Linked DNA regions of Oreochromis niloticus. The protein of the gene in region 2 purifies or fractionates together with the protein of the main gene of each other region. This does not show direct contact. Links are inferred from orthologs where the notes say so. Each region holds a gene or a part of one and is shown on either strand. Other genes may lie near its edges.

Region 1 (8,361 bases), on a different chromosome or scaffold from region 2:
TTCACTATTGTTTCAATGTTTTGCTGAAAAAAATGATAAAGGATTCATTTGACCCTTTCAGATAGATCCTGTTCAAATATGAGTTCAAGCAGCTGTAGTATTGTAGATATATTTTTCTTAAATAATTCATCTGTTTTTTTCCACCTTTCTTACTCACTCACACACAAACAAACTCACATCTAACGTCAAGTCACAGCACATAGCAACACAGCAGAGAAGCCAATCAGAATTCAGCATCTGGCCTCTTGATAAATGAGTGTGTGGCTAAGGATCCTGGCTATGCAGAGTTGCTAAACAGTGACTGATAATGACTGCCATGGTCCTTGAGCCAATTAGCCACCAGAGGCCCTCAGGTGACCCATTTCTCAGGCCTCCCTCTCTTACTTTAAGAACTGAATATATTTGGAAACCAACTGAGCATTCAATTTACAAAAGCACTACAGGGGAGGATATTACAAGTACAAGAAAAGTGAAGCATCTGTCCCTTTGGATAACACATTAAAACGCACAGAGGTTTAAAATCTGTCAAAGAAGCTCAGTACAAATGTGTGATGAGTGTCTGTTAAATTTTCTAATAAAGTCTTTTGTCAACATGTGCTTTCTTTACCTTCCTTCTTCAGCCATTTGACTATGTTTCCCTGCTCCATGGTAGGAGAGAGTGCGGGCATCTGCACTTTGAGTGGACTGACACCTAGAGGAGAGAAAGAAAATAACATATGATTTACGACGACACATAATGTCAAGGGTTTCATTAGTTTAAATTTAAAACACCTCCCCACCCACCCCCCTTCTTTCAGAAGAGAAAAAAAATTAGCCCTTCCAGTAAGGTTTTGCAATTTCATCTAAAATATGTGAATGTCAAAATGCATCAAGTAACAAGCTCAGAAGTAACACTGAATAGCTCGAACAAAGCCCTTGGGGGTCAGTATGTTCAACTTGCAGCAGAGCACAAGAGACAGCAGTACCATGAAAATGCTGCCATGTCACTTATACAACTGTGCTCCTGGATGACACCGCACCAGAAGCTGCAGAGGCATTTGTATCATTGTGGTCCCCAACTGTCACCATCTGTAGTCACACAGAAGGCCACAGTTCACACTAGAGCTTCAGGCTGCCAGAAGAAAACATACATCCAAGATCACGGCTTTACTACATATGGTAGTAAAGCTGAAAGCAACAAAAATAAGGTTTAGAGCTCAAACACCGTACAACTTAAAATGCATAGCCCTTTATTTTACACATTCTTTATGTTCACTGAACTACACACATATTACAGTCATTTATAATAGAATTTTTTTATGCATGATATTTTTTATGCATATATTTTTTTTAAAAAAGCTTCTGTTAGCAGAATACAAGATTAACCCAAACAGGTAAAAGAAAACCAAAAACTAAAAGTTAAAAAAAAAAAAAACCTTTCCATTTGACTCCACACTTTAAATTAATCTTACATAATAAAACTCAGGCAGTCGAGTTAGTCAACTTAAACTGATTAAAGTCATATACATGTAATGTAAAATAAAAAATGAAATTATTTGGGGATTCGATGATTCAAATTTTTGGTATGTTAGTTTTTATTGAGGGTGTTACATGGCCTTTGTTTCATGTTGCGTGGTCTTGAGCCAAACTGTGAGCTGCTGCCACCTGCTGTATGTTTGGCAGTGGTGCAAAACTTCAATGTGTAAAGAGTTGTGTATTTATATGTCATACGTGTTGCTTCAGTACTCAAAAACAGAAAATCTGTCTGTTTATATTTTATCTTCTTCATGCTTAAAGATTTATTTCTGGATGAGATTCACTGTCAAAGAATGACATCTGTGTAACTTTCCATATGAAATCCATATGCTCACAGTGAATTTGGGACTGAATATTTTATTTTCATCACTGACATGTTTACATGTCACAATGGGAAAACAAAAATGTAATTAAGCGTGGGAATCATGGGCATATCATGGGCACAACAAGTTCCACCAGAACAGCTTCAGTGCATCTCTTCAAATCTGCAAATAGTGAAGTGCCAGTGCCCTAAAACAACATCATCATGAAAGAGCTAGTTTAAGGTTTCGCAATAAGCTGCCTTTAAATAAAGTTCTGATATACCACATTTGGAACCCTTTAAGAGTCATGGCAACAGATCAGCCTCCATAGCACCCTATCCCCAACGTCCGATTTTGTCACACCAACCGTCTGTATCTTCTCCACTACATCCTCTGTGGTCTTTCCTCTTTTCCTCCTGCCAAGCAGCTCCACATTCAATACCTTTTGCCCAGCATATCCATTATCTTTTCTCTGAATATATCCAAACCATCTCAGCCTCGCCTCTAACTTTGTCAAAACGTTCAATTTGAGCTCTCCCTCTGATATACTCAGTGTTAATTTTGTCCATTCTTTTCACTCCCAATGGAAATCTTAGCATCTCCAACTCTGTCTCCTGTCTTTTAGTCAGTGTCACTGTCTCCAGACCTTAGATCACAGCAGGTCTGGCTGCCATCATGTAAACCTTCCCTTTCACTCATTCTACTATCACAAATCACATCTGACACTCATCTGCACCCTGTCTACACTATCTTCACCTCTCTTTTGCACTGTTTATTGTTTTGGATGTTTGACCTTACGTATTTAAATTCATCTACCTTCACTCTTTCTCCTCCTTGCCGCTTCACTGTTAGAACTTTTTGGAGCTAATATTCTTTTTTTAAGATTTAATGGTACTGCTACAAACGTGACACAGCTTTGATGAGGGAAGTTGGCTTACAGGGAGAGAAATAGGACTGGTTGGAGGGATGCAAGATAATCCAAGTGATTTAGAAAGCGGTATTAGCAGATTTCCATACAGTTAACTGCAAAAAATAACCATCACACTTTTCGTTTAACACTCATGCCAACCCTCTCATTTACCAACACTGCTGCTATCTGTCATGCCATGACAAAACGAGAGCAAAGTAACGTTGCACCATTAAAGGGTAGTGACGATTGCAAATGCCAGCGATTGTCAGCACAGAAAGGGCAACAGCCATTTACCTGGTAAACTGTCAACACTTACCGAGTACCCATGGCGACCGAAAGAAGTGTCTGACTTGGTCTTGCCATTGGTGTGTCGACCTTAAACATTTATTAAAATTATTCAGTCTGAGGCCAAATAACATTCCCTGACGACCCAAACGCAAGGAGGCCGCCATGTTATCGTCCTCCGTCGCCGAGACGTGTCCATACAGATGCCTGACGACAAAAAAACAAGGAGGGGGGTGGGGTGAAGAAAGACAGAGCCGTTTTCTACCATAAAATCTGTATTTTTAAAAGAAAAACATGAAGCACAGAAAAATGTTCAAACACAAACACTGGACCAATGAAAAAAATTACCCCGGTGATAAATGTATTATAAGCTCGTGTTGACATTAACGAGCAGGCAACAAGAGTCCTACCTATATTGGTCCTTCAAGTGCTTTTACAATGTAGTTTTGTCGCTTTTAAATAGACTCAGTGAACTACTGCCCTCTGCTGTGAAGGTAATTTGTTAAAGGATGAAAAGGGTCGATGCTCATGCTGAAACTGTTGTTGTTGTTAGTACTACATCGAAGAGGAAAGATATGTACGCAGAGCCAGGCTGTGAGAAGAACAAATTCATTCCCGTTACCACAACAAAACTATTTATTAATTCATCTATAAAACAAGTGTTTTCATTATGGAAGAGTGTGTCGTTGGTTTAGTATTTCTCTCTGTAACTCAGAGACTTTTAGACAAAAATGTTTGTAATAAATGCATTGTAAATTGCACACATATTACCAACGACATTTAATTCAAAATGTTTCTTTATCCATTTTTATTCTGCTTATTCATTCAGGGTTGAAGGGGGACTGGGGCCTATCCCAGCTGTCAAAGGGAAAAAGGTGGGGTACACGCTGGAGAGCTCAGTGTATCACAGCCTAACATGCATGTCTTTGGATTGTGGGAGGAAGAGATAACCCACATAGACACAGTGAGAACATGCATGCAGCACTTTTGGAACCAGGAAAGATCTTGCTGTCAGGCAAGATCTTTTTTGGCTCAACAGGCAAATTACATAAAAAACAAACAAACAAAAAACTGTTGCACAAATATTATATAGCCTAGGATTGATCTATTTAGTATATTTATTTATTTCTCACACAGTTTTGACTGAATAGAAAAATGTATGAAGACACCAGAGTTTATTACTTTGCAACTTTTTGACAACAATAGATTTTTAGTAAAATGCTACCTGTCTGAAAACAAAACAAGCCCAGAAAATGAGTAAATGTCATATCTATCCTGAACTTTATCGTCATCTGTCATCAATCTCAGTTGTGCTGCTGGTAGCGAACTGTGTCCAAGACAGTATCATGACTATTCTGGGAAAAAAACATACCAGTGTGAACATTTGATCCTGCAGTCTTTATTTTCATGAGATTTTAACAAGAAATATAAATAACAGAGGTAATGGTGGATGGTTTTATTTAGCTGCTTTGGTTTTGCAACAGTGGTAGAGCTGGTTTATATGCTTTTAATATTTTGATGTTCAAATTATTTTTGAACTTTGTTTTCACTGAGGATAAGGGAAATTCAGTCAAACCAAGAAAAATGAGCATTGTGTTTGGGTTTAGGAAATCTTGTGACTTTACTCAATAAAACAGTTATTTAACTATTTTAAATAACAGCAGAAATAATGAACTTTGTGTTTTATTTCACGCCAAAAAACATTATCACACATTTCAAATATAATACTAATGCGTTTAACCTTCATGTTTTTTGCAAAAAAATGTAGACTTGACACTGAAATTCTACCTATTTTTTTTTTGGTTGACACAAGGAAATTACAGCTTCAATTAATGGCCAAATGCAGACAAGGAAATAAACATTAATGGGAACTCCAAAATCTACAAAGGATATTGGCTTCGTTACATACTGGAAACAAATAATTTGTGCATTTTCATGAATACTTCCTCATGTTTTTGGTTACAGCAAAAAATATGAACAAAGGTCATTTCAGAATTAGTTTTTGTTTAATGCAAATGCAGAAGAAAAACCAAAATACTTAATTTCTTCACTCTTCCTTCTTCACAAGTAGTTTAAATGCTACTTTCCTTCCTTATCATAAGACTATGATCTAGTGTGTCATTTTGTAATGGGTAATAAACTGTTAGATAGACCTGCCCCTACCCCCAAAAAGCAAAGCTGCATCAGTGACACAGCACTAATCTTTCCAACTCACAGTGTTGGGTTGGACGCCTCACAGGTCCATTTGAGTATGAGACAAAAATGATAAGGGGCCCAGATAAGCTGAGCCAGTGTATCCACTGAGAGAACACAATAGCCCCACTTATTGGCATGGGATGCAGACATAAAATCACATCTTGCTGTCTTCATGCCCATGCTTAGGCTATCTTTTATCACTTCCCTGTTCTTCCTCTTGAATCTATCTGATTGAATTAATGCTCTCCCTTTTAAATAATAAAATACCCTTTGCTTGGTTTATTCAAATCAGAAAATCATTTTGTAACTATAAGAGATAAAGGTACTTGTGGGGAGGTATTGCATATGCTTTTTGGCCAAACAAAGGCAGCCATTGTCTAATAAATCAGAACAAGGAGACCACTAGATAATTCCACCCCATGTAGATTTTGTTGTCATCTTCCTAGACAATTGTCTGGACTGTTCTTATTATAATAGCATGTCTGTAAAAAAAAACAAAAAAACAAACAAAAAACTCACACAAGAATTCAAAGTGCTAAAGTGAGGCACATGGATTAAATATCTCCTCAGGTGCAAATGTGTTTTTTTCTTCCTTCCCAGATCTGTTACAACCGGTTTGGGCGCATGTTTGCATGAATGCTTTCGTTACCAGCACTCGATGACTTAGAACCAAGTCCTGTAAATACATGTCACGCTGGTTTAACGGTGCTCTCTTGAATTTGTCAGATATGGTGTCTTGTCATACGTGCAGCTTGCTTCTGGGAGCCATTCGGTCACATACAGCACTATTCGTGTCACAGTATCAGAAGTATGTAAAGCTACGATTTGTGATCACTGGGCAGTGGTCTGTTAGGAAAATCATGCTCTTGTCTGCAGAGGTTACGTGAGTCTAACATTTGCATAACTGCTCAATCATCTTCAGTGACTCACATCAAAGTCTTGTCTTATCACAGCTCACAGCAGTGATATAATGTGCTTAATATTATTACAAAGTCAAACTAAGGCTAAATGTGAGCTGTTGATGTATTCCTGTGCTTCTGGTCATTACATTCATTAATTTCCCAATTCATCTCTTTGTAATACAGTATATCAGCGTTCATGTGCAATGAGCCTTAATTTGCCTTAAACCACTTACTGGTATGGTATCACGGGCAAATGCAGTAATGGTTACATAATACACAATTCAATATCTGCCTTGGTGTTTGCTTGACAGTTGCATCTTTCGCCATGAGTATCCAGAGCATTAGTTTTGTTAGTCAATTTTGAAATTTTCTTGTCACATAAACAGCACAGATTAATTTCATTATCATTTCTTTCTTCATTAATTATGTGTCTTATTTGTGAGAAGTAAATTTTAGGAAGTTCACAACGGATGTTATGACACAAAGCTGCTTTAAAAAAAAATTCAGTTAACTGATTTTGACACTTGATTTGATACTTTTTTTTTAACTATAGTTGACATTTTCCATTTTCCTTTCACTATTTAAGGGTCATGTACAATCTGTAACTTTGTATACATCGAGCCTTAAATACAACTACGTTTGATTTTGTATACATTTCAAATGTATGTATGGATCATAACAAAAGCAGCTCCAGAGAAACTATAGAGTGTGATTTCTTGATAATAACTCTAAAAACAAACAATGGGATTTGATGAAGAAACACTTCATTTTGAATTACATTACTTCATGTAATACAACAATACGACAATCACTAGCAATTATTTCAGTCCAATCAGGAAGATTCTGTTTGTACCACTTTACATCAATTCATTCACCCATCCTTGAAACGCCTCTACTCAGATATGTTTTTTCACCAATAAGGAGTGTTCTGTTTATCCTTCATACATTCCATCAGTTCTGATCACAAGCTATTGACAATTATACTTTAAGAACAGGACATGTATTGTCTTTCAGTCTACAGCATGCAGTTATTGCCTTATGACGCATACGCATAAGACAGAATAGTGACTAAACTGAAAACAATGCAGTGCAGCACAGTGCGAAAGTGCAAAAGATAACGACTGAACGTGGTGTCAGTCATCAATATGTAAAGAAGGCTTGCAAAAGCCAGATTAATCAAAGTTAAGATTAGCCATGGATTTGCTTGCAAATGCAAGCCAAAGAAGGCAGTCTTTTACTGGCACTACCTTTATCTTGCTGGCCATCAAGGCCCTCTCATTTGTCTGCTGCCTGCAGGAACCAGCTTGGCAGCTACGGCACACAGTGGCAAACAATTAACTGTGTGGCATTTCACACTGTCATGATAAAGCAGTAACTACCAGCACTATCTTTAAGTGCATGGCTTTTCAGAGTCAAGCTTGTAACAGATTTAGTGGAAACAAGGCTTTCACTTGTGGATCTAAACAGCACTCTGTAGCTCATCAATATTGTTCAAGTTTGGGCAAGAATAGCTGCAGTTTGCATATTAGACTGAAGCCAAATGCTGATTTACATGTAAATGTCCAATGCTGATTCATACAACTAAAATTCTTGAATTCAGTCTCAGGTCCTGGGGCTTTTATATTTGGAATTTGAATGTTCTCCCTGTGCTTGCTCGGGTTCACTCTGGCTTCCCTACCGCAGTCCAAAGACATGCTCGTTAGCTGGTGATTCTAAATTGGCCGTAGGTGTGAATGCGAGTGTGCTTGTCCAGAGTATCTGCTCTCGCCTAATGACAGCTGGGACCGGCTCCAGTCCCTGACACCCTGAATTGAATAAGCAGTTAAAAAAATGGATGGACGGATTTCAGTTTCTTAATTTACATTCAGATTGTACACACGGAATTCAGGAAAATAAAGAGTTTCATAAAATAAAAACAGTTACAAGCTTTATTTGTAATATCAACAAACATTTACACACTTTCTGGACAGTTCAATTGATGCAAAGTATGAAATAGTACAAACCATATTGTTACGTTGTAAATATTTCTAGTTCATCACCAGTTTATGTATTCTGGTATTTCAGTGCTGTGCTTTGGCCTTATTATTTTTTCTTATTATTGTTTCTTTTTTTTTGTTTGGTTTTTAAGCAGTGAACAATCATCCTTTCCAAAGTACACTTCACAGTATCAGTGTCAAAACACGCTACATACATTTCTTTGCCACATGTGCTTTGAATGTGTTATCAACATGTGCTCTTTTGGTACTTGGAA
Region 2 (7,809 bases):
GGCTGCGACAGACTTCCCAAATCCACCTTCGCTTTTATAGCCGTGGTCTCTGTCAGGAGACCACGCCGCTTAAAAAAAAAAAAAAAAAAAAATCTCTTAACAGTCTCTCATCTTGATTACACGAAGTAATCTACTATTACTACTCTAAAATATGAATTACATCTGAAATAATCAAATACATGAAATAGCATGATTAATAGTACAGTTCCCTTTTTTAGGAAATGACCTGTATGTATCTGTATGAAATCAATAAAGGAATCAAATACTGCATTATCTTTAGTTACATTGATAATATTTATTTATGGAAAAAAACAGTGGAGAAATATCGCTGTTGCTTTCGTATAAATGAAGTGTACATACCTGAGTGGCCGCGATCTAATCCTGTTTACATAAAGTAAGCCTACTCCCAAGCAGGTTTACGCTTACGAATCTGTTGCTATGACAGCAAGTCCCGGATGAGCTTCGGAGAACCGAACGATCCAAGATCACGCGAAATCGTCAACAATCAAATCCAGCTACTTACTTAGCGAGGTACGAAGAACAGACCCCAGAACAAGAACTAGTCAGTTGCAGTCCAACAATGCTTGAATTACTGTTTGACTATTGGCTGAGACACATTAGGGACAAGCTGGCTTATTTAATTAAACACTGATGTAATCAACTGGAGCTAGCAGTGCCTGAACATTGATATGCAGGGTTACATCCATGTTTTAAGCTTTTCAGTGTGGCATCTCACCAGGATTTTCATCTCTGATGGCTGATTTCAGGAGGCCTTTAGCATCTTCTGAGTTCCATGGACTTACAACCTTCAGTCCTGGACAGTGACCATACCTGGAGACAAATGACCACACTGATGTCAGACCTGCCAAACATCAGCTAGTTACTGCAAACAGTAACGTGACGTCTTGAACCCACCATGCAGCAAAGCACTGTGAATGCTGTGCAGCGACGCCTGCTGACGCTCCATTAGGGCCTCTGAAAACGATTGGAACTGACTGTAGCCCAGCTGACATGTAATAGGTCTTTGCTGCAGAATTGATGATCTGGTCAATGGCTTGCATGGAGAAGTTAAAGGTCATGAACTCACAGATGGGTCTCAGACCAGCCTGCAAGAGGACATTGATCTTGTTAGGGAATTTGTCGATTGCAAGTTTCAAGTATAATAGGGTAGTTTGAATCTGAAGAGCTTTCATAATCTGTACTTTGAAGAATTCTAGTCTAAAGGAACTCTTATTTTGGCATTTATGGCTTCAAGGTAGGAAAAGTGCTTTATTATACAAGTCAAAGTGGCTTGGGAGTTGCCTGTGTACTGCTTCATTGGTCTTGAGGTGTAAAGCTAATTTGGTGGGCAATGGAGCCATAATTCAGGTCTGTAGAGAGCAAAGTGTGCACAGAACTGAATTACTGCTTAGAATTCAAGTGTAATTATGAAGCTCTTAAACTTAAGCCCATTATCTCAGGTAATGGACTCAAGATTATTCAGGGTTTAGAATGATGTTTTAGACAGACTCAAGTAAAAATGTTACAAACTAAAGTCAGTTTAATATAGTCCCATCCCATCAGGAACAGGTCAGACTTACCATAGCAGCTCCTACTGCAATGCCAGTAAACCCCATCTGCACCAAAAACAAAACGTTACTAAAATGAGTCCAACACCACCAGTGGTGATACTTAGATTTGTGGAAAACATCTGTAGGGCAGGTCGTTTGGAGCTCACCTCTGAGATTGGAGTGTCAATGATTCGTTTGTCTCCATACTTCTTCCACAGCCCTCTGCTCACCTGCACCAGTAACCACCATTAGTCTGACTGCCCTCATTGGGACAGAACACAAACTGCCTCCAGGAACTTCACTCGCAATCTGAGCTTTAAACTTACCTTGTAAGCACCGTCATACTGGGCGACTTCCTCACCCAGCAGGAACACCCGCTCATCCCTCTCCAACTCCTCATCCATTGCCTGGTTCAGGGCATCACGGACTGTCATCTAACATTGGCAACAAAACAATCAGTACACGTCACAGAAAACACTGGCTTCCACATACTGAAGTTAAATTTTTAACTTATGGACGCAACAATAGCAAGTTTCCATCCAAAACCTGTTTCATATAGGGCTGTAAACAATTTCCGGAGACTTTAGTCTCAAGTGGCTATCAGAAGACTGAAGGTTTTAGTTCAGAACTCAAAAGCTGAAAGTCATTCTTGGTAGTTACTTGTATCCAACACAAGTAGAAATTATTTACATCTGTTTAGTTTTGTCACCAATTTAATGGCCACTTAAAACCAGTGCTCTGACCTTAAACCTGTCCATTACTCCGCCCTAGAGTGCACAGTCTGATGTCACAATATCACAACCATCTTCCATTTACAGTCTCTTAATGACAAGCGAAAGATGCAGTTTGTACTTCGGTGAAAATGCCTTGATTAATTTTATCCTCCTGCCAATTATATTAAGGAATTGCTTAAAATACACGAGCAACCCCAGATGCAGCTACAATATTTAAAGACACTTCGAGATGTTGCATGTGTATTCCAGCAGCACTTCTCGTTTTGGAGTTTAAAATACTCCAAATTCCAGGATTTTTCTTGCTGTTCTGCTTAAAAAGTGTGCATTTTGTTGTCTGCACTGTTTCAGAGCTTAAGCTTTGTTTTAATAGTTTTCCCCTCAAACTCCTGACAGTGATTTACGTTAATGTGAGACAGCTGTCAGCGCGATGAGGGCTGATGTGATGTAAACCCGCATCCCTCTGCTCAGTGACCGCACAACCGCACGACCCCTAAACCTTAACACACGTATTTAAAACAGGCAGCTGCTGATTAAAACAAGCCCCCATCCAATCTTCAGCCTATTATTGTTGTCTGTGCAATCAAAACTATATTTACCGATATCATTCGCTGTAGAAACAGCTAGCCTGCTAGTTGCTAACACTGACCTGTACTGCGGCCGGAGCGCTCCTGTGAAAATCCCGCCGCTGCAGAGCTGACACGGTATTCTGCAGGAGAACAGAGCGAGAGCACAAACATTACATTCCAAGAAAGACCAAACACTGCTTTAAAAACATCGATTTAATCTATACCTTTCCGGAGCGGAGAAAGCACCTCAGGGACGCTGCCATCTTGAACCTGTCCTCTGTCGAACTAGAGTGACGTGATAGTGGAAGCTGGCGAATTTTAGCCAATCAAGATGGCACCTCATAGGTTGATTGGAACGTGTCATTTCGAACAGCCAATCACAGCGGTCAACAAATAAGGAGGCGGGAGAGTAGGAAATGGGCGTAAAAATATCCAAGGACACGGAGCCGCGCAGGCGTCATGTGTGGAAGGCAAAACATACATAGATGCATAAATAAATAAGTAGTGCGATTCACTCCTTTTTCATTCATTATTTTTTTTTAATTTAATCTGTGCACTTTGACATTATTTCATATGCTACACACATTCTAGTTGGCAATGGACAATGGCACTTTTGTAAGTCTGCAAGTTTAATTTCCAAACTTTTTCATATCCATTAAGAAATATGTTTCCAATCCTCATTCTGATCAAGCTCTAATGGTACTGTCAGTTTACCACATATCATCATAGAAAATAAGTGAAAACATGAGTTGCACTTGTAACATTTATAACACACACACACATTATGTATGATTGTATGATTATGTATGACATATATGATTATGTATTGAAGGTTAACTTTACTGGTATTTATCAAATTAGTGCTTGTTTTAAGATTCAAGACTCAAGAACCTTTTATTTGTCACGTACACATCACGTAATAGCAAATAGAAGTCATATATATGTGCATGTTTATTTGATGTTTTCTGTCCTCCGACATCAAAATCAGTCTCAGTACTAATTTCTATGCTGAGTGGAGACAGGAGACTATATCTAAGAGATGCAAAGGTGTATGCTTTGCACAAGTCTTTTTAGCTTCAGGTATAGAAGAGGTGTGGCCACACCTGGGTCATACAAATAAAGGTAGGAGGAAGATGCTTTAAGCAACGTTAAAATAATCAAACATTAAAATAATCCAACCTTGAGTTCATTTCACCTTGAACATTGTGTCCCGCTGTGAATTAAATTAAAAGTGACCATAAATATAAAAAAATGCAATTAACACTGTTACACCTGAGACCATAGAGTCAATAGTTGTAACATAGCTCCTCGTAACAAAACAGTTGATGATGTAGCTGTGTCAGTGTCACAGAGGGATGGATGCCTCATTTTGGTCAATGCCTGTTGCCATGGCTTCTTTCTTCTTGTCTCACTCTCGCCACTTTTCATGATGCGGGCAGAGCCCAAAGATATAAAACCTACCCTTCGTCTGCCTTCACGGAACTCTTCTTTGTCAGGCAGCTGTGTCTACACCACTACTCTTTATGCTTCCACCTGTGCAACCTCATCACTTATCTTTTAGTTACCTGTAAATATCCCTCCCTGAGCAAACCTTTTAACTTTTGATAAGCTTCCATATAAGATGTCACATCCTGCCTTTTCCATCTTCCCCTGTTCATCACAACTATAAGAAAACGTGAAAATAAACAGGAAACTGCTTTTTTCCCCAAATGTTTATTCATTTGATACAAGTATTATTTATCACAGCAGCCAAATCTATTTCACGTTTGCTGATGATGAGGGGGTCCTCTTGCAGCTGCATTAATACACTCCTCAGGAGATTAGAGAGAATTTGCTGCCTTGGATTATTTTTTATTAACAAACATCCCCGTGGACCGGGCTTCCACCCCTCTAAAGTGCTGCAGAGACACATTCTGGTTAAACGTAATGAGCATTCATGCTAGGCTGATTGCACTGAATGATGAAAGTAAATGATTTGAGCACTGAGCTGTCATCGAAGGGCTAAAAACTTGGTTTTTAAAGAGTCTTTAGGTTACAGGATTCACCTGAGCTCCAGATTCAGCCACCAACGCTTCAGCACACAAGTTGGGTGATGAGGAATAAATCACCACAGGTGGTCATAGTTTCTGTTGCACACAGTGGGTCCTGGCTGCCCTGTGGTGACAGCTGTAAAAGTTGCATGTAATTTAAAGTTATAATTATTCACCTGTTGTGTTTTCTGTTGCAGATTTACAAAGTTTTACTCTGATAATTTTACAGACATGTGGACTATTGTTAATTGCTAACCACTCTAAGCCACATGCTGAAGCGTTGGCATACTACCACAAACAAAACGATGAGCTCATGTACAATAACAAAAAACATTCAGATTTCTTTAGGCACTATCACCCAAATGGGTATGGCACAATAACAACAAACAAAAGTCTGGACACAAACATTAAAACAGAGGAAAAAACAAACATTAAAAAGAATCAAAATCAGAAATCAGGGTCTGAAGTTAATCCTGAAGGCGAGCTGAGCTCTCTGGGGCTGCACTTCATCCACAAAATTTCAGTGCTGAATGTTATTTGTGTTTAATGTTACACAGCACTGCATGCTTGGAAAGAAACAGTTATATGAACAAGAATAATCTTCCCAAATACACTCGGGACAATAATAAACCGGTTACAGATCATCTGAAGCCTTGGTTCAATCAAACTTCCTTACATGGTTTGTGGCATTAGGTTAACTATTCCCAGAAGTACAGAGTAATGTTGACGGCAACGCATTATCTGTAGTTTACTTGTGGATGGAAGGATTATTAGAAATGATCTGGACCCTGGTCAGTGATGTGAAGAGACTGATGGACCAAAATAAAATCAGGAAAAAAAAATTGAGGATTTACTTGAGGTCAGGAGAAAAATGTGATGCGAGATTAATTTCAGACCCTGAGCACAATCGGAAGCAGAGCTGCTCATTGCCATGCATCCAAGTTGCTCTGATGCGGGGCAGTACAGACGTGATGATCTACCATAAACCTCAACAGCAGGCGGCTGATTTTAAATTCATGCTGCACTAGAATGAGAGACTGTGAGGATACCAGGTGAGAAAATTAATGTTATTGTTCATTTCCCTTTAATCCAACTGTAGTGCAGAGCTAAGGAGAATTCTGGGAAACTGTTTTCATCAACTGTGAGTAAAAGGAGCTAGGACGCACACCATCAAAACCTTATTTCTTCAGTGCTCCACACTTGCTTCATGCACAGTGCCTAAATTTATTAGTCCACCTCTCAACATAAGGTTTATGCCACAGCTGCATAAGTAATCAGTATTGGTAATTAACAAATTTGTTCTTTTATTCATTTGTGTAGCAGAATGTGCAAGCTTTTGAATCAAAATATTTCTAATGCTAAAATATAGTTATTTTTGTTATCCATGAATTTTTAAATTTACTGTTTTACAAGGAAAAAATGAAAGCATGATATATTTTGACTAAGACGCCAAATTAGAGTCATTTACATGCATTTCTGAGCAGAAAATCTTGTGGTTGAATGTTGATTGATTTATTTCTGTCCAGAGTGCCGGCTCACATTTGGCTGTAAAGTGATGAATTCAGTTTGCCTCAGAAATAATGATATAACTCTGATCTAATGTTTTTTTTTTTAAATAACAGGTGGTCTAATAAATTTATTAAACACGGTACATCGCATCTCCCTCCATTATACTTTGACCCACCTCTTTTTTCTGGGGGGTTATTTCTCCCAAACTTGTCATTGCCCCCTCATGCCATCATCAAATAAATGTGCACAAACAAACAGCTGGATGAAAACACAAGTAGTGTAGTTTGTAGCTTCCTATTCATTTAGCTGCTCTTCGTTATGTGCTCTGCCTCGTGCAAAATATTGCGCCCGTTTGGTCCAAAAGAAGGAAAAAAAGGAGATAAAGATGTTCAGAATCAATCTAAACTGGGATTGTTTCATGCTTATAGAGCTCGTGAGAGAGAGGGGTACAGTCTGAAGAACTGTGGAGACAACTGGGGGAAATGCAATGCAGAGAAACAGACCAATGAGCAGAGCGTCGGTTAAACCTCCACTGTTTTGTGCTGCAACAAACAGTCATTTCTGTCTGTAATTTCAATGTGATGTTTGATACTCAACCAAAAAATATCTACAGATCAATAAGATGCAAATAAACGTTTTTTCTGCTTTCAAACTCTCAATCCAGGAAGATGACTTTTTCTTGAACACCTTGCACTGCATTGGTATTTTGTTTTAATTTAATACACGGCATGACAGCGAGTTAATTAAAGACAGAGACGACCAGTTGGTGTGTTTTGCAGCTCAGTTGTGAGGAAACTGGCTCAGCAGAGCCTGCAGGCTACATGTCAAAAAGTCGGAGATAATTTAAAAGAAGGAAAGTTTGGTCTACTCCATACTCAGGACTGGTGCAGCACTCTGACACCATCGAAGTACTGAAATGAGTCCTAAATCCACAAAATGCAACTTCACCATCGAGCAGGGGTCAGGAATCCATGGTTGCTCCACAATTTCCTCTCACACATTTTTAAGTGCTACTTTTACGAGCACAAAGAACAAAAATTAAGTCAACTGGCTGTCCGCAGATCGGCCAGAAGAAAAGCTCACCCGATTCAGTTTCCCGCTTTTTATCCGGTGTCTGCCTCTTAAGGACAAAGTAACCAGAAAAGACAAAACCTTAAGGTGCCTAAGATTGTCCAGCATGTTTCGAAGGGCAAACAGAGGTCGCCATTTTACCCCACCTGTCCTCGAGTCTCTCCAACCACAGCAATGCATTAAAAGTTTAAAAGCAGGAGGGGGGAAAAAATGCAGAAACAGCAATAAAAACAAAAACTGTACTTAGATCTTTTGTTAGTGATTTTTTTCACATCTTGGGGGAGGGCCTTCACCACAGTGCAGAACTGGTGTGTCGGTCATGTTGCCATATTGAGGACACGTTGTGTCT

What was found.
Region 1: the proteins of pdhb (region 2) and pdhx purify together in Homo sapiens (affinity purification with mass spectrometry; 4 studies listed by BioGRID and IntAct, counting the BioPlex papers as one, with this or other methods). This does not show direct contact. The link is inferred for Oreochromis niloticus from reciprocal best matches to the Homo sapiens genes PDHB and PDHX.

The regions. Positions count from the first base shown.
Region 1 is NC_031972.2:58,427,155-58,435,515, reverse strand, and holds the start of pdhx (pyruvate dehydrogenase protein X component, mitochondrial), read right to left. Parts: upstream 3,220-8,361; 5' UTR 3,180-3,219; coding exon 3,044-3,179; intron 692-3,043; coding exon 608-691; intron 1-607.
Region 2 is NC_031970.2:12,962,060-12,969,868, forward strand, and holds the start of pdhb (pyruvate dehydrogenase E1 component subunit beta, mitochondrial), read right to left. Parts: upstream 3,196-7,809; 5' UTR 3,114-3,195; coding exon 3,075-3,113; intron 2,991-3,074; coding exon 2,931-2,990; intron 1,985-2,930; coding exon 1,877-1,984; intron 1,781-1,876; coding exon 1,718-1,780; intron 1,617-1,717; coding exon 1,581-1,616; intron 1,107-1,580; coding exon 916-1,106; intron 832-915; coding exon 737-831; intron 1-736. UniProt on the Homo sapiens protein: The pyruvate dehydrogenase complex catalyzes the overall conversion of pyruvate to acetyl-CoA and CO(2), and thereby links the glycolytic pathway to the tricarboxylic cycle.